2 linked regions of the Kluyveromyces lactis genome follow. The protein of the gene in region 1 purifies or fractionates together with the protein of each later gene. This does not show direct contact. Links are inferred from orthologs where the notes say so. Each region holds a gene or a part of one and is shown on either strand. Other genes may lie near its edges.

Region 1 (13,516 bases):
TGAGATTCATTCCGCCTTACCGAAAAATCTAATACGAGAAGAACGGGATCTATTGATGGACAATAAGCTGTACAATTCTAATCATGCTCTTCATAATCATGCTGCATATTCAACAAATGATCCAAACTCTTCCTTTGCACCAACATCATCAATCGAGGATCAAGAAGTGATTGAAACTTGGGAGGATGCAATTGAATCAGGGAAAGACATAAATACCACATTTAAGAGAGAGGCCATAGTGATAACATCTAATGCATCACCTCTTGTACTGACTTTCATTTTACAAAACTCTTTATCTTTAGCATCAATTTTTTCCGTTTCACATTTGGGAAGCAATGAATTAGGAGCTGTTACCCTAGGATCTATGACAGCGAGTATCACTGGGTTTGCTGCCATCCAAGGGCTCTGTACTTGTTTAGACACACTTTGTGCCCAAGCTTACGGTGGTAACCACTATCACTTAGTTGGTGTGTTGTTTCAAAGATGTGCAATTATCACGATCATTCTTTCTCTACCTGTTCTCTTCACATGGTGGCAATGGTCTGAACAGATACTTGCATTATTCATTCCAGAAAGAGAACTATGTGCCTTAGCTGCAAAATATCTTCAAATTGTTTCTCTGGGGATTCCAGCCTTTATCCTATTTGAATGTGGTAAAAGATTCTTACAGTGTCAAGGAATCTTCCACGCTTCCAGTATTGTCCTTCTCGTTTGTGCTCCCCTTAATGCATTGATGAACTATGTTTTAGTGTGGGATAAAAATATTGGAATAGGATATCTTGGTGCACCTATTAGTGTAGTATTGAATTATTGGTTAATGGCTCTTGGGTTGTTTGCTTACACTTTATACACGAAAAATGAAAAAAATCCCATGAAATGTTGGAATGGATTTATCAAACCGCATCAAATTTTGAAGAATTCACGAAAGATGTTCAACTTAGCACTGCCTGGTATTATCATGGTTGAAGCTGAGTTTTTGGGTTTTGAAATTTTGACTATTTTCGCATCTCATTTAGGTACCCATGAATTAGCCGCTCAATCAATTATTTCGACTATCGCTTCTCTTGCCTATCAAGTCCCCTTTTCAATTTCAATTTCGACATCGACTAGAGTTGCAAACTTCATTGGTGCGTCCTTGTATCGAAGCTGCGTAATTACTTGCAAAGTGTCATTATTACTATCGTTTATTATTAGTTCGTTGAATATGGCAATGATTTACAAAGCTAGATACCTAATAGCAAGGCTTTTTTCCTCAGAACCCGATGTTGTCAGATTGGTTTCTAGTTCGTTACCAATCTTGGCCTTCATGCAAATTTTTGATGCATTTAATGCTTCAACTGCAGGTTGTTTGAGAGGCCAAGGCCAACAAAAGATAGGAGGATACATCAACGTTTTTGCATTTTACTGCATAGGTATCCCAGTATCATATTTGCTAACATTTCATTACGGATTTGGTGTTAGTGGATTATGGTGGGGTATCACTTCTGGTTTAGTTTTCATGAGCATTTTCCAAAGCTATGCTGTATTTCATTGTAATTGGAATGATATTATCCGTGCAGCAAAGTCTAGAAATAGCGAAGGTGCCATGGTATAACGTCTCTGAAAAGACCACATATCGACTAAATACCATCGTACATTAATAAATTAGGAAGAAGGTAAACCCCATTCAATGCATCTTATATTGAACTTTTCATATATCATTATCTGTTTATTTTTTTGTTGTTTAGATATAAAAGATTTAACAGTACATCTTCTAGTTGAAGGATTGAGTTGTCAGCTGTTTGCTAATCATTTTATTGTACAATACCATACTGTTCCAAAATTTTGGCTAAATTATTATATAACCATGGTATGGTTTTATCATTTTCCTCAACAATACCTTGGAAGTGTTCGATGGATTGCTCAACGGTTATATTTTTGCCCTTTGCATATTTGTTGATAGCATTCACCAATGCGCTGCGGCGCTGATAAGTTCTCAACTTGGGTAATTTAGACAATTGACCTGCACCATGTTTCTCCTCGAAATGCAAGATCTGAAGCTTTGTATCTGTATAAAACTCGTGGTAAAGGTCATGGACGCTTTTGGGACAATCTGTCATTATAAGGTGATAGTTCTCAACATTGTTCAGATCTTTTGCGCCGAGAGGTCTGATTTTGCTCGAGTGTTGTGATTTCGCTACCTTGTACCTTGATGGCATTTCTCGCGATGCGTTCTCCGCTTCTCTGCTGAGACTACTGAAAAGAATTTCATTTTTAAATTCTTCTTTGAAAACTTTTGGCCCTTCCGAAATGTCAGCTTCAGTCTCATCAATTCCAAGTAGAGGTAGAGGATCTTCATTCTCTTTATTTACGTCAAAATCCACTTCTTGTTCCTCGGTTAAAAACTGGTTATTCATATCCAAATCATGAGCTAAAAGATGTGTTTTAATGATTCCTAAATCAACAATAATCCCAGTATGCTGTTGTTGTATTAAATCTAACTTAGATTTTAACAGGGCAATTTGACCATTGACACTTTGACACTTGCTATTACACACTGCGTCGCATAAAACGTTCCAATCAGTTTGTAAAGTGTCTACTCTGCTTTGGAATGTATGAATTATTCGTTCAATATTCTGTGGCATCTCATTTGATTCTCGGCGTCTTCGCAATGCAATCAAAACTTGAAAATACTAATTGATTCAGATGTAAATAATAGTGTATATACTAAACTACGAATAAGCACGAATAACAGAGGTGATGATGTGAAAGTTTGTGAAATCTGTGGTTTATATAATATTTGACATATGTTTAATATAGTAATTAAATCTTTTTGTGACACTTTTATTTTTCGTTTTTCCTTTTCCTTCACTGACTGCATGGACGCACCAGTCCACACAGAAAAACCAGCAAACCTAAATGTGGCACATCAGAAAAGTTGTTCGAGCGGCGATGGGTTTGCACCATCCAAACAATACTAGGAATAACGTTTTCCTGCTGGTTCGAAAACGCACTGAATTTAACTACTGTTATTCTTTTATGAATTGCAAAGTATCGATGCTATCTGGAAAATTTGAGTACAGATTAAATACATTTTGTAGGGAAAACTATCATTGTAGGAGCGGTGACAGCCGTTAAATCTATGCTAAATGGGTAAGTTTTAAGACGATATTTGTGAAGGATAGAAATTAAGAAAGAGGAATGAAAAAAAACGCGATACTCCTGTACCTCTAATTTTTTACGTTTTTATTCTTTGTCTTTTGTCTTTTAGCGCTGGATTTTTGTTCTTTCGTTTGCTCTTTCTTTTGTTCTTCTTGCTCTTCTTCTGCCTCGACCTCTTCCAAGTTTCTTTTGGCTTGCTTAATTTGCGTAGCAAACAAGGAGTCTAGTTCGTCTGGATTTGCAATTTCTAACAAAGATTTCTCAAATTGTGATAGTTGCAATTCGACACCATCAATTTCTATGACATTTTGAACGGAAGTCTTAGCATCATGTCTGGACCCAACCAATTTGTCTAATACTTCCAAATTAACGTATAATGGAAGGACTGGTGATTCGTTAGATTTGAGAAGAATGGTTCTGATATTGTACTTTTCGATGAACTGTTTAGCGACAGAAATGATATTTTCAGTCAATTGTTCTGGGGTGAACCATTCCAATGAACCTAGATGAACATTCATCGTGTTACCTCTTGGAAGTTTGACTGGGATTTTAGTATCATAAATTCTCTTGATGCTATTTACCAAAGTTGTCTTGTTAAACTTGTTATCCGATCTTGTGTTAATGGCAATTGGAGTGGTATTCAACTTACTGTATGCTTTACCACCTAATAGCTTGGGCAAAGCTGTCACTATCGAGTCATCAGCTAGAATGAAAGAAAAATCCTGTACAAATGCACGCCTCTTTTCAAAAGCCTTGTATTTTGTCTTCAAATCTTTACCAGATATGATGGCATCAATAGTAATATGTTCTGGAAGTAGATCGATCAAGTCTTCTGATGTCACTGAATTGATATCAGAATCTTTTAGAATCAAAAGAGTCTTGAAATCTTTAACCATGGTGGTGCTAGCTTCCTTCCATGGCTTGAAGATAGAATGAGGAACTGTAATTAGTTTTGGTTTGAAGTTTTTCAAAGAACCAGTAAAAGATTCAGTGTTGACTAGGATCAACTGTAGCTGAGCCTCCAATTCAGAATCATCAATTAACTGATTGTCATTTGATCCATTTTCCTTCAAATATTCTTGCAATTTAATAACAGCATTGTTAACTCTGTTAACTGGAATGACTTCTTCCTCTTTACTGCCCTTAGTAGCCTTGGTGGCTTTGGTCGAAACCTTGCTTTTCTTAGTTTTAGTTGCCATATTATCTAAACTTTGATATTGCTTATAATGTGCTTGTAGATATACTAGACTGGATGAGTGGAGTTATTTCCTCTATATTCTGGATTCTTTCCAAGCGTTTTTTAACTTACTTGATTCGCACTGTCTCAGAAAAAGATCAACAAATTGTTGGTTCACCTAGGTAAGCTTACTTCTCGAGTTCGTACTGGCAACTATGAAATATCCAGTATATATCTAATCAATCCTTTGAGCTGAGAAATAAGAATAGGTACTTAAATACTTTACATACCATTACTTTATTAATCGTGTTAGGTGTGCAACATACTTCGAGATGAGATGAGATGAGCTATGATGAGATGAGCTCTCTATTGTCAAAAATAAAAATTTTCTGTTTCGCAGGAGCTCCACTGTGTTCACGTAGTTAGTAAATATTGCTTTTTGAAAGCGAAGGCCGTAATATATGATTTGAAACTTTTCTTGAAATTTGATAACATTTGACACTTAAGAAATAAAGAGTAACCGAATCTGATATTGAATCTCGGTGCGTGTTTGTGCAAAAGTTACTAATGAGCAACGGGCTACGTTCAGTGAATGGGGTTACAATACAAAAGGGCTTAAACTGTGTATTTTAGGGTTTCTTTCTCTGGTTTATTTCGGAACAGTACTATTTTTGAGTTAGGTTTTTTCGGCTGTCAAACAGGACTCACGATCGATATAAAGGATACCTTAACAGAGAATACGCCGCACGAATCTGATTTATGAGTTATTAAGTTGCTATTATTATTATTATTATTATTATATCGTAAACATAGTCATCGTCCCCGTTCATTTATACTGCAAAAGGCATATTAGCATATATTAATCAAATCTAGCCGCAGGGGTAAGCATACGCTCTCACAAGACAAATAAGAAGAGCATTAGACATGGGTAAGAGAAAGAAGTCATCCAGAGGTCCAGCCAAGAAGATAGTACAGAGGTTAGATACGGCATTCAATTGTCTCTTCTGTAATCACGAACGCTCTGTGAGCGTAACAATGGACAAAAAGAATAACATTGGCTCGCTTCATTGTAAGATTTGTGGACAATCGTTCCAAACCCGCATTAATGGTCTATCACAACCGGTAGATGTATATAGTGACTGGTTTGATGCGGTTGAGGAAGTTAACGAAGGGAAACATAGCGAATCTGAAGATGAAAACAGTGACAGTGACTACGAGAGTGACTCTGATACTGAGCCTTCTTCAAACCGTAGAAAAGCTGTTGGAATAGATTCTGACGAAGAAGAAGAAGAAGAACAAGAAGAAGACGAAGATGCGGATTACGGAAGAAAAGGAGCGACCGAACGAAAAGACTCAGAACCAGAATCAGACTCAGACGATGACGGTAAAATATCTAACAAAAGAGGAAGAGCAGCATGGATGGACAGTGATGACGAGTAGTCGAACCGACAGAAACACAGACATCGAACACCAATATTAATCTTACAATTGTATCTATCTATCTATATATTACCCAGAGATATACTAGTAGAACGAATAAAATCAGGTATAAAGGAGCTGATATTTACGTTCAAAGAGATTGCTGGATCTTATCTGTTTCCTATAAGAATTTATATAACGCTCACCTTGGCTTTAACCATCGGTTGATAGTATTCAGTTTGTACTGCAGAAGAATTTATATATCAATTCTACATCAATAATAGTATCTTTGGTATATCGAACTTCTCAGTAATGTGGCATTATTTCTGAACTAGATGGTGATACACGAGATAACAAAACTCGAAAACTTCAGTTGTATGAATTCAAACAAGATAAAATTACTTCTGCTCGTAACGGTGCAATAACCTAACATACGATCAAGTGAAAACAAAAGAGCACATTTTTCTGTCTACCGCTAAATAGACTAAACGCGTATGTTAATAGCTGTTTGTTTGATATATAACTACTTTTCCTTATAATTTAGTCAGTATAACATATATATAATTATAATAATTGTGATGATGATGATAATAATAATAATAATAATAATCTTGATTTTATTTGAATTGTTTGTAAATGTTTCTTGAAGGTTTGTATTCACGGTTCTGTATATGTCCTGGCAAATAAATAATGTCTTCGTATCTGCTACTACCAGTAGTCAGCACCAAAAAAACCTCCTCAAACAAACAAATGTGTGACAAGAATATATGGTGTCATAGGATGGGACACGTTCGTAAATATAGTTTTTGATGATATTTATTTTGGTTTCATTTGGTTGTTGGTGTTGTGGATAAGTATTGTTCTTTCCTTCCTAGTGAAAGGTTCTCAAAAAGTGAAAATAGTATGGGAGAAGATGATAAAGCCGGTGACTTTAGATTAAATGTTCTTCTATATGCACTTATTGGAACAATTCCTCCTTCAAAGGAATTCCCAATTCTTCTCTAACATCCTTCAATTCATCCAAGTAAGCCTTGTATTGATCTTCGTTTTCAACTTTGTATCTCAAGGCTTCGAACACTCTGACAGCAGTTGGCAAGTCGTTAACCTTTCTGGCGGCTCTCAAGGCCTTTTCGATAACAGCTGGGGCTGGAACCAAATCGTAAGAGAAACAGTTATTCAACACTCTTTGGACTTCGAATAAATCGTAAGCCTCTTCGAATTCCTTTTCGTATCTGGCGGTGAATTCTTCAAAGGTTTCTTCTTCGTGTGCATCGGAGTACTTTCTGATAGAAACAAATTGAGATTGTAATTGACCAACTCTTGGGGCAACAGCAGCTCTCATCATAACCGGAGCAACGGCTCTTACTGGCATAGCAGCTCTCAACAAAGTTCTGGACAACATATTTTTCTTTGTATTGGTTGATTCGGGATTTGGATTTGATTCACTGTATTAAGATGATCAAATAGCTATTCTAAAAGGAATTATAACAAACCGTATTCACAAAAGATTCAAAGTCGAGTTCTATTGTAATTAAAACTTAATGTAAAACGCTTTAAAGATATATCAAATAGGTTAGGTAAAAGGTAAATCGACCGATAATTTTCTCTGGAGTTTTTTTAAAAATTTGAAGTAATGAAGAATGAAAAAAAAAAAATTAAATACTTAAAATCGCATAGGACAAATATCAACAAACAGTTCAAATACTTAAACTAGTGGATAGCTACGTCTTTGAACTAGATAAAAACGAGATTGTTAAAAGGAAAGTAAGAGTAATAACTTGCGAAACGAATAGCACAAATTTGAACCTCGAGTGAGTCGTTCCATTCGAAACAACTTTTATTGTATCTTATTCTTTGTATGCATCATCTTCTTAGTAGTTTACAAAAAAGTGGTATTATCAGTTTTTTAAATAGTGTGTCTATGGAAAATGGATGGAAGAAAAAAAGAGGGCTAACATAATTCATCGGCAGAGTTGCAACAAAAGTTCACACTCCAAAAAATCCTACATGTGGTACTTACGAGCAAGTCGTTTATCTAGTTCGATTTTAATTATTTGAATTGAGTATTTCTTGACTTTCTGCTGCCTGTCATTTTTCAGTCGAGCGATGTCAGATTAAAGATCTCATGTTCAAAGGAAATGAAACCTTAACTCTCATAATCTTCGAAATAATGTCCTATAAAACAAGATAATAAGTCCGTGATAATAAACCCCACAAGCAGTATCTATAGAATCCAATAAAACACATTCGTGAAATATGCTGGGGGGTAATGGGCATTGATTGAGACTGGTCCGACCGTTCTGTAGGGTGTCTTGTTTGTGGGGAAGGAGAACGTATTGGCATATGATTGGTTCGTCACCGATGATTTTTACCACATAGTCGGGTAATAGGACAGCGGGAGAACGTGACTTCAATACAAATACAATTACCCGGAAGTCGCGTGGTTTCAAAGGTTTTTTTTTTCTCGGTAGGCAGGTTCCCCTGTTCGATCCCTCATCTCCGCAGAAAACTGCGGGTTATTATGTCTCTAAACGCGATAGTTAATCCTCTATATCGTCAAACGTTGAGATAGGTGGCATCGCGGTCTTGATATGTTGCATCAAAGCCGTATGGTTTGGTTCAGAGTTTGTAGACCCCTCAACTATTATTCGGGTATGTCCATTGTCAAACACTTTTCGAACAGCAGGTTTTGAATCATCGTCGATACCTGCACCAGCCTCTTCATGTCCCGTGTTACGATTAGGCCATTCTTCAAGCCTAGAGTAATCAAATCCCGGAGGAGGTGACGCTGGCGGAGACACTAGAAATAATGTCTGGGCAGGGGGAACTTTAAGGTGATTCATCACAGTGTCAGCGCCAGCGTGTGGAAATCCAGCTTGTGAATTCGATTCAGCCACGTGATTCGTGATGGAGAACCCAAATTTACAATCAGGGAATAATGGGTTCAAGGATTTCACTTCACGGCTCGCCTCAATATTAGGCGATGTTACCAATATTCTCTTGAATCCAGGAAGTGTAATGACACGCACGGCATCCGCACCGTAAATCTGTCGAGTATCCACCACACATTCTTGCACCTTATTTACGATCTCATCAAACAAGGGCTTGGAGCACACGTCCTTTGTCTTTGACGTTATTATTACAGTATCAGTAGCAAAATCATCATACGTTGCCATTCCAAAGAAGTGTATTCAGTGTGAGTGTAACCAAAGTTCGCCGCTATTTGTGCATGTCTAAGTAAACACTTAGTATATGTAAGTAGTAGATTACGTAGTTACTGAAGAAAGTGAATCGATCTTTACAGTGAAATATTGAAAAAAATATTGAAACAGAAAATCACTAATGCATGAGATGAGGTGTGTTCAGAATAACATTACGTGTAATTAAGTTACGCTTGATTCAGTTTGAGATTTATACGTTAGAATTAATTAAAGAGACAGAAGAATATACAGAATGCCTCTCACTAACGTTATATACTGTGGTGTGTGTGACTTTCCTGCTGAATACTGTGAATTTTCCGGTAAATTCAAACGTTGTAAAGCTTGGTTACAAGAAAACCACCCAGAATTGTACACCAAATGGTATGGCGATGTCACTGAAGATGTGTCTAAACAATTGGCAGAATCATCTATTGGTGATGAAAGAGAGGAGAAGCTTGAAAAGGCCCTAGAGAAACTAGAAAGAAAACAACAGGCTAGAGAGGAAAGAGAATTGGCTAAGAAATTATCGTCTAAAGTTGTGATCAGAAGAGAAGCAAGAACAAAACGGAAGTGTATGATTGCTATCTCTGGACTAGAAGTTTTCGAAATTGACATGAAGAAACTTTCCAAAACTTTTGCATCCAAATTTGCTACAGGTTGTTCTATCTCCAAAAATGCCGAGAAGAAAGAAGAAGTGATTGTTCAAGGTGATTTGGCAGATGAAGTAGAAGCATATATACATTCTTTACTAGAGGAAAAAGGTATGAAAGAAGTTAAGGTAGAAGTAATCGATGCCGCGAAGAAGAAGAAAAAAGCTGAAACTACAACTACACCAGGATCCGAAAATAAGAAATGATTATGAGAAGCACATTTAGCTGACACCCTTTTGTCATAACTTTATGTTAGCCTCTTAGGTAGAAAGATTTATATAATACCGCATTCATCGTTCAACAAACTGCACAATTAAACATCAGTAAGATGCTATATCTATACCCTCATATATAATAACTGTAGTAGCTATTAGGTTCCCATAAATATACTCCCATGGTGAGGAAGGGCAATACCTTACAAAAGAATATCCGGGTAAGATCACTTTTTCTTCACTTCCACTTCCATTATGCACCGTTAGATGGTGAGGAAACATGTCAAAATGTAAAATAAACTAAAAGCTATTTTCACCGAGCACAGAGAGTAAACAAGAGAAAGAGCCTTGAGTAATACACTGAGCACTCTTGTATTTGCTTACCAATTGGTTGAATCACGGAAGCATTCGGAAGTCAATTGTACTATGACCAGAGGATACATTGATGATTCGGTGAATCATGCTTTAGATTCTCGACTAATTGGTTCAAGCGTTTTTCAATCGTCAGATGCTTTGCTGGATCAATTATTATCTCTTCATTATAGAGCCCATTATCACATAAACATTTCTACAAAGACAAAATTCAGTGCACTGTCGGCCCTTTTATCTGAAGTGGAGAAGTTGCCCGTTCTAAAGGATGAATTACACTGTGCAATTGCGGACAATATCTATGGTATTGTTTTCTGTGAACTTGATGAAAAGGAAAAGGGGTTGCAGTACGTCTCTAAGAAGTTAGGCAGCGTTAATGGATACGATAGATTTGGAAGAATGCTAGATTTGGAAAGGCTATTTTATAAGGGAAATGTCGACTTAGCTGAGTTTTCCTCTGAAAGCTGGACTATTCCGAAATATTCTGATGGCTTAACTTGGCATTATTTGCAGGCAATAATAAAAGGGCTGGACCTCTCTCATTTTAAGCCAAAAACACCATTCCAATGGATGCTTTTGACCCTTAATGGTTCTGCAACTGACTCAAATCTTCTATCTTATAGCCATTCATTATTGAAGAAAAGTCGTTTCCCTAATGCTGATGAATCAAATAATTTTGAACTAGAACAATTCCACATGGTCCTACAAGAGCATCTCAAAATAAATAATTTAAATGTGAAGAAAGAATGGGAGCAATTTATCATTGATAGTATGGAAAAAAGTTTCCAAAGTATTTCGGTTGCAAAATCAGCAATGCTCTTTTATCGAAAGGTCGATCTAAAGAGGAGCATTCTAAACTTTACCAATTTGGTCAATTATTCAAACAAATATTACGAACTTAACAAAAGGTATCCTGACTTATTAGACTTAGTTTCATCGTACCAATTCATTCTGTCTACATGTAAAACGCCATTTGAACCGTTCTTCATGCCAGCAAACGTATCATCCGATTTCTTAAAGTTGCTAGAAAGAATTCACAACAAGTACAGTATCCCTATTATAGAAAAACAAAAGGCACTAGAAGGCAGCTCAGATGTATTGGACTTATGTCTAGCCTCATCAACAGCTTCTGTTCTATCCAGTTCATGGGAAACGTTATACGAAACTAGCGCTTCTTCTCTCCCAGCCTTGGTAGATCACAGTCAGATATTTTACCTATCGAATTCTTTGCAAACGTCTTTGAACGCTTCTGTGTCATTAAAGTTTAAGTTCGCTTATCATTTGGCTACATTAAGACAAATTGACCAATGCATCGCTTATCTAAAAAAACAAATATTAACACTTCATCCAGAACATTTCGCTAGTTGGCATCTTCTTGCGTTATGTGAATCCTGCATCAATGAAGATTTACAAGTAAGTTTCAAAATTATCAATTCTGTCATTCAATCAATGTGTGAACTTTTCGATGAAGGCAGGCAATTCACAATTGATGAAAAATGGCAGTTTATTCACATTAAATTAACTCAACTTCAACTAGTTAGAGACATGTTTGCACTTGAAGATGCACTTGAAATTTTGCCAGAGGTATTCGAACTTTATCAGCGTCTCTTTTCAGATGCTTCAGAACCCCTTGGTCCTCAAATCAATCAGAGTAACGACTATCTATTGCAGAAGATTTGGTTGTTTGCATTGGAATTATACCTGGAAAATGACGATATCGAAAATGTAAAGGCTGCGTTAGATGAGTTTAAGAACGTAACTTCAAAATATGTTAATTTGAACCACAACCTCGCACAAGGATTCGTGTTGTATACACATGGTCACTCTGAAAAAGCGACAGCGGAATTCGAAAAAGTTTTGCACTATGACTCTACATCTGTCGAGGCATTGATCGGTTTGGCAAAAATCGTGCTTCCTGATGAAGAGGCAAACCTGGATACGGATCTCAAGCATAACTCCAAAATAAACCAAAAGGAGCTACATAGAAATTCTGCCACGTCACTCGAAACTTCTTCTGCTGTAGCCAGACTTAAGTTCTTATTCGAAGAACTAGTCGATAAATCGATAGAAGGTTATCAAACATCTGCAGTGTGGTGGTATCTATCAAAAATATACGAAATATATTCTGATTCTACCAGACAACAGGAGGCGCTATGGCGATGCATCAAGTACGAAGAACTTCAACCCGTTCGCGAATTCAAGTTCTGTAATTTCTGATATTCTTTCAATTTACCTCATCCAAGTGTTCTGATATCCATAATATTTCCACTGTGGCAGCTGAAGTATAACATATTACATTCTAGTATATAGATTTATATTGTGACTATAGAATATACTGAGTTGAATTATGTATGACACGCTAAATTTTACCCAAGCTTGTCTAGTCACCTGACTTATCGAGAAGGCTAATTTCGTTTTCGATGTTGATATATCTACGGATGGACCGTGTCCAAGATCTCGGGAAAGAAGCAGAAATGATACCTGGGCATCCTTTAATGAATTGGAAAGCGCAATAGGTTACCCTTTATACAGGAAGGGCAAGTGGTTCGTCCAAGGGTAATAATGGTTTCTAAATCATCTGGATTTTTACCGAACTCTTCAGACTTGCGATTGAGAGAAAGAAAAGCACAATTCGATGGTACAGAGGTTTTAGAGGACTTCTTAAGAGATAATGAACCTGTAGAGGATAAGCTGGTGAAGCCATTGAAATCTTCAATATTTTCCAACAGAAACCACCGATTTCACACATATGTTTGCTTATTACTAACACTGGTATCTTTCGTGCTTCGGTTCTACAAGATTGACAGAAGCAACATCGTTGTCTGGGACGAGGCTCATTTTGGGAAATTTGGATCATATTATTTAAAGCATGAGTTCTACCATGATGTGCATCCACCATTGGGCAAGATGTTGATAGGTTTAGGTGAATACCTCGCGGGATTTGATGGTAACTTTGACTTTAGTTCCAACTCTAGTTATCCCGATGAGGTAAATTTCAAGATTATGAGGCAATTCAATGCTATATTTAGCTCACTGTGCACACCCTTAGCATTCTATGCAGCCAGGAATCTTAATTTTAGTATGCCAACCGTTTATCTCGTAGCCTTAATGGTTTGTTTCGAACACTCATATATTGTTTTGGGTAAATTCGTGCTATTGGATTCCATGTTACTGTTCTTTACTGTTCTTACCTTCTATTGTTTATCGCAGCTTTATAGGTTAAGAGAGTGTCAACTTACTGTGAAATGGCTGGCTTGGATTCTGGCCACTGGTTTCTCCATTGGATGCGTATGTTCAGTCAAGTGGGTTGGTCTTCTAATCACAGCTCTAGTGGGCATTTACACGGTG
Region 2 (16,699 bases), on another chromosome or scaffold:
TGCCTTACGCTTCCATGAAGATCATGAACAACAAAAGATATGCTTTTATCATCATCAAAAATCTGTGGTTCAGGGAAATGTACGAACTCTGGAGATGATCCCATTGCAGTATTAGATATTGAAGTTCTTAATAGATCTTTGACCGACATAATTTTCGGTACATCATCTGAAAGATTAGTCAATGCCAACACTCTAATTTTGAGACTGGGAGTGGTAAATAGAATAATTTCAGGTTTTTTTTCAAGAATATACTTGATCATTTCGCTTTGATGAGATTGGTCTTTGATGGTTTTTCTCAAGGTTTTTTGGATTAACCAGCTATCCAAAATAACACAAAATCTTTCGTTATTGGACTTTGACATCTCCACAGTTCCCCACTGCTGAACATTCTTCTTATTGTCAATATCAAAACTGATCCATACCCTCAACTTTCTATCTGCACATAAAGTGTAAATGACATGCGTAATATGTTCTTTATTGCATTGATGATCGTTTGTTTTCCACCTAAAGGTGGTCACAACATCTGGATGAGGGAGAATAACCAGATCAAAGAAATCTGAATCCGATGTTATTGACACTCGCCTCCAAATTTTCACTGTTCTATCGTTATAATTCATACTAGATATGAGTTTAGAATCAGAAGTTATTGAACAAAGATAAACTGGCAAAGGTTGTCTTTTACTCCATAATAGTCTAGGTTTGTACTCGCCAAAAACATCCTTTACATCCCAAAACGATAGGTAATCTGATCCCAATACTAATTCATTCCCCATACCCCATTGCAAGGTGTTGACGCGGGAATCATCATGGTACACTTTACAGCAGAATACCCATTTAGGGTTCTTCATGATTTGATGCAGCGGTTTGTAAATGTACACTTCCTGAGAAACAGCAACAGCAATGAGACCATTACGAGGATTAACATCGACAGCATGACAATCTGAATTCAAATATATTGTTTGAAGCCGCTCAGAACGATTGGAAAGCAATATTAGATTGTTACCAGAGCAGTATGCCAATATGGTATTATGGTTCCATGACCGCTGGCAAGCTGCTTGAGGAGTACTATTAGGCACACCGGGGAGGAAACTCAATGTCATTTACACCCAATTGTGCACACAGTTAATTTCAAATACCAGCTAACAGGGCAACAGCTTCAGAGACTTGGTGCTATGTAGTTACATAACATGCCCTTTCGGTCTGCGTAGAACATTTAACCTTAGTATTATTCATTTCCAAGTATAGTGCTTTCTATCGTCATTGTTAACGATTTCTGTATTTCCTGGAGACTAAGAAAGAACCTTTAATAAAAGATGTGATCATTGTGACAAAATACAGGTCATCGGTCTTTAATCCAAAGAAGTTCATGCTATATAGGAGCTACTAGAGGAATTTATTCAAGGGCTGGTAAGAATACTAATAATAGAAAAAGCTAATCATAAGCATATACCAAAAAAATGGGTGCCAGTTGTAACGATCAAAGGAAAGCTGTTGCTATCTGTTTGCAGAGATCGCCATGCGTGCTCATCGAAAGAAACACTCCTAAGCAGTGCATAGAAGATCCTAAGTTGAGTAAAGATCTACCAGAACTCTGTATGGCACAGATGAAAGCATTTTTGGATTGTAAGCGTGGTATTGTTGACATGACCAAAAGATTCAGAGGCAACGGTGCGTTATCTACGGGAAAGTACGATGAGCAATATGAAAAGCTATCTACCGGAGACTTCAACGCCAAGGAAGAGTATGAGAAGTTGAAGTTACTAGATAGTGCCAGCAAGAATTAAGGCATACAATCCCTTTTGCTATGCGTGTTTCTGTTCTTTCAATTCTCTTTTTTTACTTCAAAACATTTCATCATCAAATTGTCGCTCCTGCATAAAACTGGATAACTCACACCATATCTTGTAAATAATACTCTGCCGTGTGCTGCTCTTCTACAATCCAAATTCTAAACCCTTTTGTTAACGCATTGCCTCATTGAAATCGTCTTGTTCCAAGAATACCAAACTTGACTATACCCTTTCGGTTAATATATCTTTTAAGGAATGGCTATCTAGTAGGTTGTACGAAGCTATGCACAGATGTCATAAATTTACCACACAAGAAGATTGACATTAGGAAAACACTCGATTAATATACGTATCGGTATGCATATATTTAACTAATAGCCATATTTTCATTTCATACTCGCCTGCAAGAAAACCCGGAAATTGTCTCAGGTTAACCCGAGGGTTGTTAAGTTGAGATATATTGCAGTATGGAATAGAGTGACATGATAATATGCAAGTGCTATTTTCGTGAATAGGCTCCTAGTTCTGGGAAGGTTATATCAAAATATAAACACCTTACAAGCTCCTAGAGGTAGGTCGATTATTTCTGAAACTAAGTCCTCAACAATTATTAGGGCGTGTGGTCTAGTGGTATGATTCTCGCTTTGGGTTAATAGCTTAGCCAAACCTCGTTAAACGAGGTTTAACTACTGCAAAGCATGCGAGAGGCCCTGGGTTCAATTCCCAGCTCGCCCCGAATTTTTTTAAATTTGCCGCGCTTGATCATTATATAAGAGGGAATAGGGAAAAATTATATAAGATGATGGGTTGAAGGCACGCCCTGAAAGGCCATTTCGGGATTAATATCACCGAGCCCATTGACTCTAGTTTTTTTTACTTCTTGTTTTATCGTCTCGAGCGTTGAGACTTCCACTAACGTTTTACCTGAAAAATTGAATCATTAAATCCTGAGATATGATTTAATAATGCACCATTCCTGCGATGAGTAAAACATATACAAAAACCATACAACAGTAAAGAGTGCCAGAAGATATTTGGGTACGCATTTGAAAACCAACAACCATCAACAATGAGCGGTGACAATTTAGGTGGGTTGAAGGTTCAAATGATGTCTCAGACATCATTAGAACAAGAAATAGAGAATAATGCTAATAATATGATTAGTAAACAGACATTGGAGCAAGAAGAAAAGCTTCTAGAGAGGTACACAAACAAGCGGGATATCCTTCGACAGAAACGGGACAGCTTGTTAAGTAAACGTTACAACGCCAGTAGGATTAGTGTTCGTGCTAAGTTGAAAGAGCAGATTGAAGATGTCGAGAATTATGAATTAAAACCCTTAGAGCAGGATATTGCTGAAATCAAAGAAAGAATTAAAGGTTTGAAAGAGACTAATGAGGCCGATACGACTACAAAATCTACAGAGAGACAACCTGGTGAGTCGGAAAGAGATTTCTTGTTGAGGACCGGTAAAATCACAGGGTTCGGAAATAGTGTGAATTTTAAGGTAGAAGACGAAGAAGAATCTAAATCAATCTTACTAGCTGAACGACAAATGTTAAAGAACATTGACGAGGAAGAAGATCAAAGTGAAGACGAGGCTGATTTTATAAGTGATTCAGAAGAACTTTTAAACGAATCAGCTGGGAAACTCGATGTAATTCGTAAACCTGCAGAGGCTATTGATGACGGTGACGAGCATCATTATCAACAAAGATTAAAGAAGTGGGTAGCCAATAGAAGTAAAGATCGCGATTACGATAACCAACCGGATATTCCAGAATGGTTGAAACCACATCCAAAAATTTCAGACGCCAATATCAGTGAAGATTTCATGGTACCTGGTGATATATTCCCTTTGCTATTTCCCTATCAAAAAACATGTGTGCAATGGCTATGTGAGCTTTATCAACAAGGATGCGGTGGCATAATAGGAGATGAGATGGGACTAGGTAAAACGATTCAAATTATTGCATTTCTTGCCACTTTGCACCACTCCCGAAAATTGAATGGCCCTGTACTTGTCGTTTGTCCCGCAACTGTGATGAAACAATGGTGTAACGAATTCCATACTTGGTGGCCACCTTTTAGAGCTGTAATTCTACATTCAATTGGTGCCGGTATGAATAAAGGTACACAGATTCCAGAAGAGGAACTAGAGAAGATGTTGATGACTTCAAATTACGGAACGTTTACATATAATGACTATGAGAAAAAAGAGAAAACGCGGACTTCACTTGAATCGAGAAAAAGTGTCAAAAAGCTTTTAGAAAAAGTGATCACGGATGGTCACATTATTATAACGACGTATGTTGGTTTAAGATTACATTCTGAAGCGCTACTGAATGTAAGGTGGGGTTATGCTATTTTGGATGAAGGACATAAGATTCGTAATCCTGATTCAGATATCTCTTTGACATGCAAGCAGCTAAAGACACAGAACAGAATTATTCTTTCAGGGACACCAATTCAGAACAACTTGACAGAATTATGGTCCCTTTTCGATTTCGTCTATCCAGGAAAACTTGGGACTCTTCCTGTATTCCAACAACAGTTTGCTAATCCTATCAACATGGGTGGCTATGCCAACGCTTCAAATATACAAGTGAAAACTGGTTATAAGTGCGCTGTTGCTCTCAGAGATTTGATTTCCCCTTATTTATTAAGAAGAGTAAAGAGTGATGTTGCTAAGGACTTACCAAAGAAAAATGAAATGGTTCTTTTCTGCAAGCTAACACAGTACCAAAAATCGAAGTACTTAGAATTCCTCCACTCTGACGAGCTCATGAAAATAAGGAAAGGGAAAAGGCAGGTTCTATATGGTATTGATATATTAAGAAAAATCTGTAACCACCCGGACTTATTGGATTTAAAACGAAAGAAAATGAACGATTATGAAGACGCGGATTACGGCAATCCAGCAAGATCAGGCAAAATGCAAGTAGTAAAGCAGTTGTTACTACTATGGCATTCACAGGGTCACAAAACTCTTCTATTCACTCAATCCCGACAAATGTTGGATATTCTACAAGAATTCATCAGTTACAAAGACCCTGAACTATCAGATCTTAAATTTTTAAGGATGGATGGTACGACTAACATCGGATCTCGTCAATCATTGGTGGATAAATTCAACAACGAACCTTATGACGTATTCTTACTTACAACAAGAGTAGGCGGACTCGGTATTAATTTAACAGGGGCAAATAGGATTATAATTTTTGATCCGGACTGGAATCCATCTACTGATATGCAAGCCAGAGAACGTGCGTGGAGGATCGGTCAAAAGAGGGAGGTCACTATTTATAGATTAATGATTGCAGGCAGTATTGAGGAGAAGATTTATCACAGACAGATCTTTAAGCAGTTTTTATCAAATAAAATCTTGAAAGATCCCAAACAAAAGCGTTTTTTCAAAATGAATGATTTACACGATCTATTCACTCTAGGAGGAGATAATGGATATGAAACAGAAGAATTCAATCAAGAAATTGTTAAACAAACGGGTAATATAAAGCAGAACAAGACTTCGGAGACGGACGATTTTGATAAACTTTCGCAGATTTCGGGTGTTCACAAATTGGAGGGATTTTTCAACTCTAAAGAACAAGATGAGAAGCAGAGCACCGAAGACGACAGAATCATGGGTAGCTTATTTTCTTCAGCAAATAGCGTTGATACTAACGAGAGAGATGATATCATTGGGGCAGAAGCTACTCGTAACGTCAAATCTGCACTTGATGCATTAAAAAACTCACGGAAACAAACTAAAAGGTTTGATGTTGGCACTCCGACTTGGACTGGTAAATTCGGTAGGGCAGGTAAAATAAGAAAGAGTAGGACTGCATTATCTACAAATGACAGCAAGTTTGCAAGAAAATTGAACCGGGATACGTTAGAGCGGGAGAAAATTAAAAGAGAGGACATTCAATCAGATGCTACACAGAAGGACGAGAAGAGCGCCGAGGTACTCAAAGCGTCCATTGAAAAATATCTATCTCAGTCACCAGGGTTTGCGAGCAAATCAGCAGATCTAGTGATTAGAGTCGGATTACAGCTAACAAACTCAACCGACGTAGAACGTGTTCGGAAAATCTTAAAAGATGTCGCAGTATTTGATAAGTTAAAGAAAGTTTGGGTACTTAAATCAGCTAATAGAGATACCGATTAAACATTTACCTTTGTAGCACCCTTGAATTCTCTTCTATCTATGCTGGCTTCCTCATTCAGATTGAGTGAAATTTCTGTCACAAATGCGGGTAACGAAAGATATTTTTTTTCTTTTTGATGCCACTGACACAAAAGATCATACAGCATTGGATGTAATATGTGGCGCTCGATACACCAGCTCGAGCAGCTTCTGTATATAAACCTAGTATTTCGAGACATCAAGCCGAAAAAAGTGCCAAAAAAAATAGCATAGCTCTTCTATGCTTTTCTTAGAAATTCAATGGCATCATCCTCTTTGGGCACTGGTCAGAGTACCACCAGTAAAAATATAATACTTTGTTTTGATGGAACGGATAATACTTTCGGCCCCAACCCCTTCAGCAATGTATTGAAGCTTTATCGGATGCTTGATGGCTCTGATTATGAAAGGCAGATTTGTTATTACCAACCAGGCATCGGTAGTTCGTTGGAGTATGATGCACAAGCTGGTTTTGGTGGTTTGGTTACTTGGAAGAAATTGAAGACGGCTATTGATTCTGCTGTTGCCTACAGTTTGGATCATCATATTATGACTGCTTACCTGTATTTAATGCACCACTACGAACCCGGAGACAAAATATTTATGTTCGGGTTCAGCAGAGGTGCGTTCATAGCAAGGGTACTAGCTGGAATGCTGGAAATGGTTGGACTTCTAAACGTTGGACTAGATGAAATGATATGGATGGCTTGGAAAATATATGAAGCCTGGGAATACGCTGCACAGCCCGTACAACCGAGTTATGCGACTACTTTGGTGGATGAATTTAAGAAAACGTTTTCAAGAAATATTGAGATCGAAATACATTTTCAAGGCCTCTTTGATTCGGTGAATTCTTGTGGTATACTTTTAGATCGGCTCTTTCCCTATACAGCTAGGAGCGGCATCGTTCGTCACATCAGACATGCGGTTAGCATTGACGAAAGAAGAGGGAAGTTCAAACAACAGTCGTTTTCCCCTAATCCTTATAGACCAAATTTATTTTCGTTGAACTATAGAAATTATGTCATAGAATATGAGAATGTTGCCCCGAAAACAAACTATCACAGTACCAGTAACCAATTTATAAATCATACCATTGGCTCAAGACCTAATTCATCACAATCACAATCTAGTAAGTCCGTACAAGAACTAATATCCCGAATCAACAATTTCCTAGAGCTGGAACATTCCCAAAGAACAGATAATTTCGTGAACCAGAGAGTTGAAGGTATATTCGAGGTGGACTCTCCCCATGGTACTTTTGATAGTAAAAGGACATCATCGGATCTAATAGAGAAGTGGTTTCCAGGCGATCACTCAGATATTGGTGGGAGTTGGCCACCGGATATCACTGAGAAAAATCATTTTTTAAGTGATATGTCTCTAAGATGGATTCTCTCAGAAGCGATCAAATCCGGAGTACTTTTTAAAAAAGGAATCATCCATGAATTTGCTGGCAAATATACATCTGCTGGAAGCTTATTGTCAGCATCGCACGATCTTTTGAGTTTCAAAAAGAGCAATCTTACTATGAAAAACCCATTTCACAAAAAAGAGACTAATGAATATGATGAAGATCAAATTAATAGATACCACGGCTTCAAACTGCCATCAAAGAGAAGTTGGTTACCGTGGCGTCATAAAACAGAGAACGTTTACTTCAGAACGTTTAACTGGAAAACGGAATCACCATCTAGTTGTTCTGATCTTGAGCAAGGTTTTGATACTGATGAACCAGGGAAGGACATCGGTCGTCAAAAAAAAAATGATGGAAGTGGAAATGTGAGTATCTTTAGGGTGATTTTTTGGTGGATTGCTGAATTGATTCCAATAGGAATAAGAATCGAAAACGAAAAGTGTGAATGGAAAAACGTTTACGTGCCAAATTTTGGTAGAAGACGGAATATACCTGAATATGGCGAACTTCATTGGTCAGTTTACTGGAGGATAAAGCTTGTCAACGATTACAAACCGAAGAATTTGCCAGATTATTGCGTAGATTTAATTGAGCAGCATGAAAAGATATCCCTTCCAAAGAGGAAGAACGGTGAAACGAAGAAGAAAGTTATGGTCAGATCTTCGTTGACTTCATCTTTGATATCATACCCTGGACTTGATTCAGAACCATTGCTGCCTCCTGATAGTGTCAATGACGGGTGCAATTGTCAGAAAAGGGATATCAACAAAATAAGAAAAGAGATGTGTGATATGCTAACCGAATGGGATCGAGAAAATTGGCAGCGAATTCCAGATGATCTTGAAAGCTTGTTAGAAGCTAACCCAGAACTTTAGTCTACAAACAGCACTGGATTTTTCAAGGGTTCCCAATTTTCGGCGTTCAAATGGATTAAATTTGTTCATTTCTTTTAAAAGAGTATGTGGGGAATATACATATACATATAATATATAATCTTGGCATCGTTAACAGAGTATATAAATAACAGGAAACAAACCTTAATATGATAAAAAATTTGAATCCCTAGAGAGAAAGGTAATCTCAATTTAAATTAATTGTTCGTCAATTTCTCTATTCTTATGGTAAAATATTTTGGTTGGAAGAGATTTTTTTAGGTTTTTATGGTTTGGGTTAACAGTTTTTGAGACATCTTAAGAGTATAGGATTGATTAATTGAATTTATTTTTCTCGTGATTAGCGGGAAAATAGGCAAATTAAAAGCGAAATAATGACATCCCATTGCAATACCAATGCATTGTTCCTAGGCCTAAATCTCGTTGAAAAAGGGAAATCAAAGGTTAAAGTTACTATTGACAGATTAATCCAATACTCCCGCTTTTCTTTAAATACGTGTCTGACCTTTTATGGAAAAGAAGGCGATACAACATTAAGCGATTCAGATTGTAGGTATAACCATGCATCGGGTAGAGCAGGACTATTTCAAAGATTTTGGAATATAATAAAAGGGTTTCAATCACGGTAGTAGCCTGATGTGGTCATTCAGGTATTAATGCGATTGTTTCTCAGTGCAGTTAAAAGGAAAAGTGATGACATACAATTGAACAATGCTTCAAAAGCATTTCATGCTTGCTATCCTTTTAGTTTGCTTGAGCTATGGGGGCACGGGTAGTTGTGGTTTCAAAAATGTTTGTATGAATAAATAATAATAAATCGGGTAGTGATGATGGAACGTGAAAAAACGAGCTTACACGATTCCAATATGACAAACTTTAGCATAAAAGATATTGACCTTGGTTGTGAATCCTACTTGGAAAATACATGGGGGGAGTAGGAGACATCAACATGGGAATAAAGAATTTTATTAGTGAAAGCTGGAGTGAGAAGGACAAAGAGAAAGAGAAAAAGGAAGAGAGTTAAATTTGAGAAATAGCAAAAAAAGGTAGCCTATTTCAACAATTTATCAACATAATATAATCTTTTTTTAGCTTTCCTTCTGCGCTTAACCGACAATCAAGTTTTCACCATCGAATTCATATTGAGGGATTTCCAAGTTCAATGGAGCTGGACCCTTTCTGATTCTACCGGAGATATCGTAATGGGAACCGTGACATGGACAGAACCAACCACCGAAATCACCAGATTCACCGATAGGAACACAACCCAAATGAGTACAGATACCCAACATGACTAACCATTCTGGCTTTTGAACTCTGTCAGAATCAGTTTGAGGATCCTTCAAAGCTGACATATCAACACTGTTAGCTTCTTGAATCTCATGGTCGGTTCTGTGTCTGATGAAAACTGGCTTACCTTGCCATTTCACAACGACATTTTTACCTTCTGGAATAGCAGCCAAGTTGACTTCGACCTTAGCCATAGCCAAAACATCTGCAGATGCAGACATAGAAGCGATGAAAGTTTCAACGGTGGATTTGGCACCGGCAGAGGACAACAAACCTAAAGAACCAACCATAAAGTAAGCATAAGAACGACCTTTGTCAGCATCGTTATTCTCCTTGATATAGTCTCCGAAATCTGGAGTTCTGTAAGTAGACTTGGCAGCAACTGCAGAAGTAGAAATTAATCTGGCTGGAGCAACAGACTTCAAACCAGTCTTCAAACCGTTTCTTAAACCCAACATTTTTGATATTAGTTAGTTATGGATATATCGCTAGAGTGTATTATTCGTACTAATTTCCCGTTCTTATTTCGGAGAAATCGTTTCTATGATATCGACTTTAATCACAACAGCAAAGCACTCTCGGAGTATCAATAAATATATACACAGATATGAATCACCAAGCCAGATTATAAAATATATATATCAATGCAAAAATGTTGTTGGAACTGAAAGTAATAATAAAATGATTGTACTAAATCTTTTTCTATTTTATTTTATTCAGAGAAATTATCAAATTATCTCTATCCATATTAAACAGAAGCCATTGCAGCTTAATAAGTGCGGAAGGAAGCAAAAAAAAAAAAAACAAAGAAAAATTTCAGATTGGGAAAAAAGCCAATAGTAAGAAGCGCTAAAGGATTAAACAAGATATAATTCGACCAGACAGGAATGGACAGTGTAAATGAGCTGGGACGAGGCAGAACTTCCTGGTGTGGTTATTATTTTCCAATTTACAAGTATACAATTTTATTTGCGTAAATGGTCAAGTATAGGAAGATTTTCTTGGTGGAAATGATAACTGACACTAGGGCCTTTGGGCCTAGTGTCAGTAAAACGCTTCGCATTTAACGGCTTTCACATAGTAGCTGTAAGTGTCCATTTCCTTGTGTTTTCTGGTTATTCAAGGGAAGCAGGTTTTTCTGTAAAGCCTGGTTCACGATATGATTGGTTCGTTTGTAGTGATTATATTAATGTATGTTTGTTGCTGACATTATTTAAACCCATAACCCTCATACATTTCGAGGGCAGTCACCAATCGCAGAAGAAGAGTATCACGTGACTCATATTCGTACAAGCAGAGTTCGTTGAAACAGGTATGGGCAGTGGGCAACTGATCATGTGATCCGGACGTTGTGCGGGTTACCTTGAACGGAAGCGTCGCAAGTCCCGTCACTGGAACTCTGTCACTCCCAGTCACGAAATGGAGAAATTGACGTTGCTGTTCATGGGATAATTGTGGTAGTATTTCCCATAGCCATTCCACTACCGGGGTTTGGTTATGGAATCCGCCTTGGTATTTCGTCACAGCGCGAAGTTGTTCGAAATCCATGTCTTGTTCTATGCTGCCACAGATGAGCCTTTCTACTTCACAACTTTTGAACATCGGGAAAGCCAAACCATCCCCGATGACTCTTGTAAACCCGGATTGGAATGCACTAAAACTCGATGAGACCCCCTCATTCATATAAAAATTTACCCACCTTTCAACAAACTCTGTCTTATTCTCCGAGGTTACTGGGATTGATTCTCCTCCGTCACATAACGGTTTCGTGACGTTGATACCACTGGCTACATCGTAATACGTGGTCTCAAACGACAATCCAAATATATCACTAAAATCTAGTTCCGAATAACTCAACATTTTCTTTAAATTTCTTGCTGTCTCAGGGTACAACTCCTCATAATCTTCAAAAGTGATCCGCTCATTGCATAGTTTCTTGTACATGGCCCTCGCAAAATGTAAGTCCAATATAGTACTGTTATATATTGCAAGACCTAACACTACTCCAAACAAATAGTATAGTTCATTGTTGTTCTCTCCATGAAGCTTAAGACCGGTGTTCCCATATGCAAACCAAGATAATCGGCTTTCTTCCACGTATTGAAATAGTCCATGGTTTGGATGAAACAATTCCCTAGTCAATAAAAGGAACCATTCTTTCTTTAAACCGCCAGCATCGATTCCAGGCTCATTCGAGAACTCCACTCTTAGGGATTTTTTCAAATCATGTGGATGTCGTTGAATGGACGTTAGCGAATCCTGTGTCACATGGCTTCGTCTTACCTTTATTCGGAAATGTACATCGTAAAGTTTACGAGAGTCCAACGCCTTTAAGAACGCTTGCTCAGCGTTATGTTCCATCATTTTCCCAGTTTCGAACTCCATTATGGCTATCTTAACGCCTAAGGACATCAAAAAAGGGTACTGGCATAAGGCAGTATAGTGCGTTTCATGTAACTGTGTCATGGATAAATCGTCAAGGGTCCTCCATTGCTCTCTATTCATCTTATGCCACATCATAAAATCACGTTTGTAATCAATGAAATCAATTATCATATTGTAAAAAACCGAGATGTCACATTTTGGCTGTTCACAATGAGCTTGAAAGTATATGTTCATTAGCTGACACACCGTGCGAATATGCCAGTCAAGTCCGTATTTTTCAATTCTGAACCTGCTCTCTAACGGTATCTTTTGCCTTCCGGGGTGGAAAAGATAAGATACAGTTCCATCTTTGGTTTCATCCACAGGCGATGATTCAGTTAACAACGTTCCTGATAATCCTCGTGGTGAATGCGGCGGACCGGGTCCTATTTTCTGGAACTGATAACTCAAATACAAGTTTAAAATTTCCCATTGCTTTTGAAATTTCAATGGATGTAAACGAACTAAGTGATTCTTATATTTCACCGAAACTTTACTATTCATTGACCCCAAGTAACCAATACATCTTTTTAATATTTCGTAACTTAAAGTCTTAATCTTGGGTGTTCTAGAAATTGTAGTACTGTTGTTAATACATTGCCTTAAAGAAGGTACCTCCAAGATGAAAAAAATGAATAAATAGTGCTCCCATTTATCCATTAGGATCTTTGGCCTTTTCAAAACCTCATTAAAGACACGTAAAATGAGATAAATGGGTCTTTTGGTAGGCAATGAGCCTATCAAATTATAAAATGTCACTGCTTTTTCGTAGTTTATAATTTGATCTTTAACAGTTGGTTTGAATAATTGATTCAAAGCTTCCGCTGTACCGAATTTTTGAACAATGTATTTTTCCACAGGAATGAAGTAGCTGTTAAGCTCTTTAGCGGGGGTCTCATCTCCTGTCTGATCTTTCTTATACGATTCGAGACATTGACCAACTATATTGGATAACTGTTCAAGGTCCGGCAGTATCTTGCCCTCAGTATCCCTAGAATTTGCTGTTTGTCTCAAAACAACAGTCACCTCACATATTGTACATTTGAACTTAACTGCGTCTATAGGATGTCGTAACAAGGTTCCGCAACATCTACATCGAGTTTCCCTAAATTTTGGCGGGTCTTCACAATCCAACCTATCCGAACTTTGATAGCGGATTTTTATCTTTTCCCTACCAACAATGTGTAATGGGTTAAACTTGAACATATTCGAGCAGCTACTGATGGACAGTCAGACTTCTTCCTCTAAGTTCATTTCAACAAACTTGTAAATTTAGGGTTGGATAGTCGAAAGCACAAAAGATTGTGTCAAATTTATTACTTTTTTTTACCAACTGACAATATCATCTGGAATACACAGGCCTGTAACCATTTCTTAATTTGAACAGACAAAAAAAAACTATGTACTGACCACTAACTAGAACCATCAGATGTTGATGTCATTGTTAAGAAGGATGCAAATGTATCAAAAAGTTGTATTAATTGTAATATATATGTTTAATATACAGAGGTCGTAAAAAAAAAATCTACCTGTCGATCACTTGAATCAATGAACGTGCAGTAAATCTTTTCTTTGCTATGCAAACCCCCCACAAAGCGGTTAACTCCTTAAACGATTGATATAAAGAATAAGAAAAGGAAATCACGAAATGTGCAAATCCTTCTTAAATCAACAAAGTTTCAATCTTGTCCTTAACGGCATAGATTTGGCTTTTGATAGCAGAAGCATCGTTAGTGGTAATAGAAGCAGCAATAACTGGTCTGGAAACACCACAAGCTCTACCCAAAGCAGTTCTGGATGGAACAAAGACGTATGGAACGTTCTTATCTTCACACAACAATGGCAAGTGCAACAAGATTTCAATAGGTTCACAGTCAGCAGCCATGATAATGAATTCGGAAATACCACGGTTCAAAGTCTTGGTAGCTTCGTTAGCACCCTTCTTCAATTGTCTCATGTTGGAAGCTTGTTGAACAACATCCAAGATTTGTTGGGACAAGGTGGCATCAGCCAATGGGAAAGCCTTTGGGTTTGGAGCAGACATTATTTCTTTATAATATGAAGTGAAGTATCCGATTGGGTCAGTTCAAGTTCCTTGCAAGAATGAAAAGCTCGCTTGAATCTGGTGTTTTAAGACTAGAAATAAGATCGGATCAAGTCCAAGTCTAAAAAAAGTTTTATCATAAAGTGAGATGAGATGGAACGAGATGAGATGAGGTTAGTCTCTTGAAATCATTTTCTTTAGTTTTTCAATTTTTGAAAATTTTCGAATTCCTCGACTGATGAGCAAAAAGAAACAAATGGGATCACAAACTGGTGTAATGTACGGCTGTTTCACTATATTAATTCAGAAGAACGATATACATTCCTCCTATTGTGATCATTTGGCCATTCTCCGCCATTGCTATAGTACTCTATTATGGTCTAAAACACGCAGTCTGTAGTTGTTGTTCCCCATCGTATGCTTCATACTTCCCCAGGAAGAGCTGCTTTCACTCTCAGTTCTTTACCTAATTTCAAAGGTGCATATTTCTTTGTATTGAAAAATGTACGTATTACAATATGTAAATTTATCAACTCATTTATGAATAAACTCATAGTATTGCCCTTGACTTAGGTATGACCCAATTGATGAGCAATAGCTAGCTATGACTGACCAAGAGGTAAATGAGGAGCAGGCTCTGCGAAATATACCAGAAGTCGGTAATTTCGATAAGTTCACTTCTGTGGATTGGATTGAGGAAGAGAAGCGTGAATTGTCCAAGGGAACATCGCATGACGAATTTGATATACCGCGTTCGAGTTGGTATGAGTACCGCAGGTTAATATGGAAAAGAGGTAGCAGTTTCATTACTTTGACTGCCATTGGGCTTTCCATTGGCGGTATTGCTGGTTTTTTACAAATATTCACTGAATTGTTAGTAAACTGGAAATCTGGACATTGTGCTAGAAATTGGTTGTTAAACAAGGCATTCTGCTGTCCTAAAGAAGAGATCAGTAAAAGGAGTTATGGTTCCATAATAAGTTCGGCTGGCAATGCCGCAGAAATATTCTTTAAAAGATCCCAAAGCGAATGTATCGAAAAAGGTATTTGGGTAGAAGCAACCAATCCAATCTTTTCATTTTTGCTATTCATGTTCTTATCGGTCACATTTGCAACTATTAGTTGTCTGATGGTCCTACACATTGCACCGTTTGCCACTGGATCTGGTATTTCAGAAATTAAATCCTGGGTATCAGGTTTCCAATATACCCCGGAGTTTTTGAATTTGAAGACCCTTATAGTAAAATCTGTCGCTTTACCGCTTGCCATTTCTTCTGATTTAAGTGTTGGTAAAGAGGGACCATCTGTTCACTATGCTACCTGTTGTGGTTATGTAATTACTAATTGGCTCTTGAGCAAGGAGATGGCCTTCCCAGAACAATCCGAATACTTGACAGCTTCGACGGCAGGTGGTGTTGCAGTAGCTTTTGGTGCACCTATTGGAGGTGTCTTATTTGCACTTGAAGAGATGTCAGCTTCTATTCCTTTCAAGTTATCTGCCTTGTGGAAGTCGTATTATATTGCTCTGGCAGGTATTTCTGCTCTACAATATATTGATCCATCTAGAAATGGTAAGATCGTTGTTTTTGAAGTCACCTATGATAGAGAATGGCATGTGGAAGAAATCCCAATATTCATCCTTCTTGGAATTTTTGGTGGTTTATATGGCAAATACATAAGCAGATGGAATGTGCATTACGTTTCTTTTAGAAAGAAATATCTCTCAAGATGGCCGTTACAGGAAGTTGTCATACTAACGTTTGTTACTGCCATTATCTCTTATTTCAACGAGTTCTTGAAACTTGACATGACAGAATCTATGGAAATTTTATTTCATGAGTGTCAAACTAATGAGAAAGGATCATTATGGTCGCATAGACTTTGTACAATTGACAACGAGGCCTCATTCATCTCGTTCATCAATTTATTGCTTTCGTTACTCTTTGCAACTGTAGTGCGAGCCCTGCTAATCGTTGCTTCGTACGGCTGTAGAGTACCTGCCGGAATTTTTGTTCCCTCAATGGCTGTTGGTGCAACTTTTGGAAGGGCTGTAAGTTTAATAGTAGAGCGTTATATTACTGGACCAAATGTCATTACACCGGGAACTTATGCTTTCCTTGGTGCAACTGCAGCATTAAGTGGTATAACAAATCTAACTCTAACAGTGGTGGTGATCATGTTTGAGGTCACGGGTGCATTTACGTATATTCTTCCTACCATGGTAGTTGTTGCTTTCACTAGAATTATCTGTTCCTCCTTTGGTGCCGAGGGAGGAATTGCTGACCAAATGATTATAGTTAATGGATTCCCATTGATGGAAGAGCAGAAAGGGGATCACGAATTCATGGATGACTTTTATGCAGATGACATCATGACGAAAGAACTAGTCTACGTGAATGAAAAAATGACTCGTCAAGATCTGCAAAATTTGATAGATGGACCAGCAGCCGAATTTAGCGGTCTTCCGATCACCAGCAGCTGTTCCAAAGGTGATTCGACATGCTCTGGCTTTATATTAACAAAGTACGCTCGCTATTTCTTAGATGCCACTACTGGATCTCCCGACGATATCATTGATTTCAGAAAATGTGGAGATGAATCGTTAACATCAAAAATCAATTATACCCCGATTACTGTTAGTCCGTCTACTCC

Evidence for each region.
Region 2: the proteins of COX6 (region 1) and RIP1 purify together in Saccharomyces cerevisiae (affinity purification with mass spectrometry; 4 studies listed by BioGRID, with this or other methods). This does not show direct contact. The link is inferred for Kluyveromyces lactis from reciprocal best matches to the Saccharomyces cerevisiae genes COX6 and RIP1.

Annotation. Positions count from the first base shown.
Region 1 is NC_006042.1:2,029,926-2,043,441, forward strand, and holds COX6 (cytochrome c oxidase subunit VI), read right to left. Parts: upstream 7,140-13,516; coding exon 6,696-7,139; downstream 1-6,695. Other genes in the region: KLLA0_F21802g (MATE family efflux transporter), read left to right, coding at 1-1,594; KLLA0_F21824g (transcription activator GCR1-like domain-containing protein), read right to left, coding at 1,794-2,624; CIC1 (Cic1p), read right to left, coding at 3,210-4,340; ELF1 (Elf1p), read left to right, coding at 5,243-5,758; TMA22 (Tma22p), read left to right, coding at 9,191-9,793; YPP1 (Ypp1p), read left to right, coding at 10,226-12,385; dolichyl-phosphate-mannose-protein mannosyltransferase PMT6, read left to right, coding at 12,731-13,516. UniProt on the Saccharomyces cerevisiae protein: Component of the cytochrome c oxidase, the last enzyme in the mitochondrial electron transport chain which drives oxidative phosphorylation.
Region 2 is NC_006041.1:2,007,510-2,024,208, reverse strand, and holds RIP1 (ubiquinol--cytochrome-c reductase catalytic subunit RIP1), read right to left. Parts: upstream 10,038-16,699; coding exon 9,396-10,037; downstream 1-9,395. Other genes in the region: RAV1 (Rav1p), read right to left, coding at 1-1,100; PET191 (Pet191p), read left to right, coding at 1,458-1,784; DNA-dependent ATPase RAD26, read left to right, coding at 2,860-5,961; KLLA0_E22595g (uncharacterized protein), read left to right, coding at 6,241-8,271; putative E3 ubiquitin-protein ligase HUL4, read right to left, coding at 10,789-13,209; RNA binding protein SNU13, read right to left, coding at 13,667-14,047; GEF1 (Gef1p), read left to right, coding at 14,652-16,699. UniProt on the Saccharomyces cerevisiae protein: Component of the ubiquinol-cytochrome c oxidoreductase, a multisubunit transmembrane complex that is part of the mitochondrial electron transport chain which drives oxidative phosphorylation.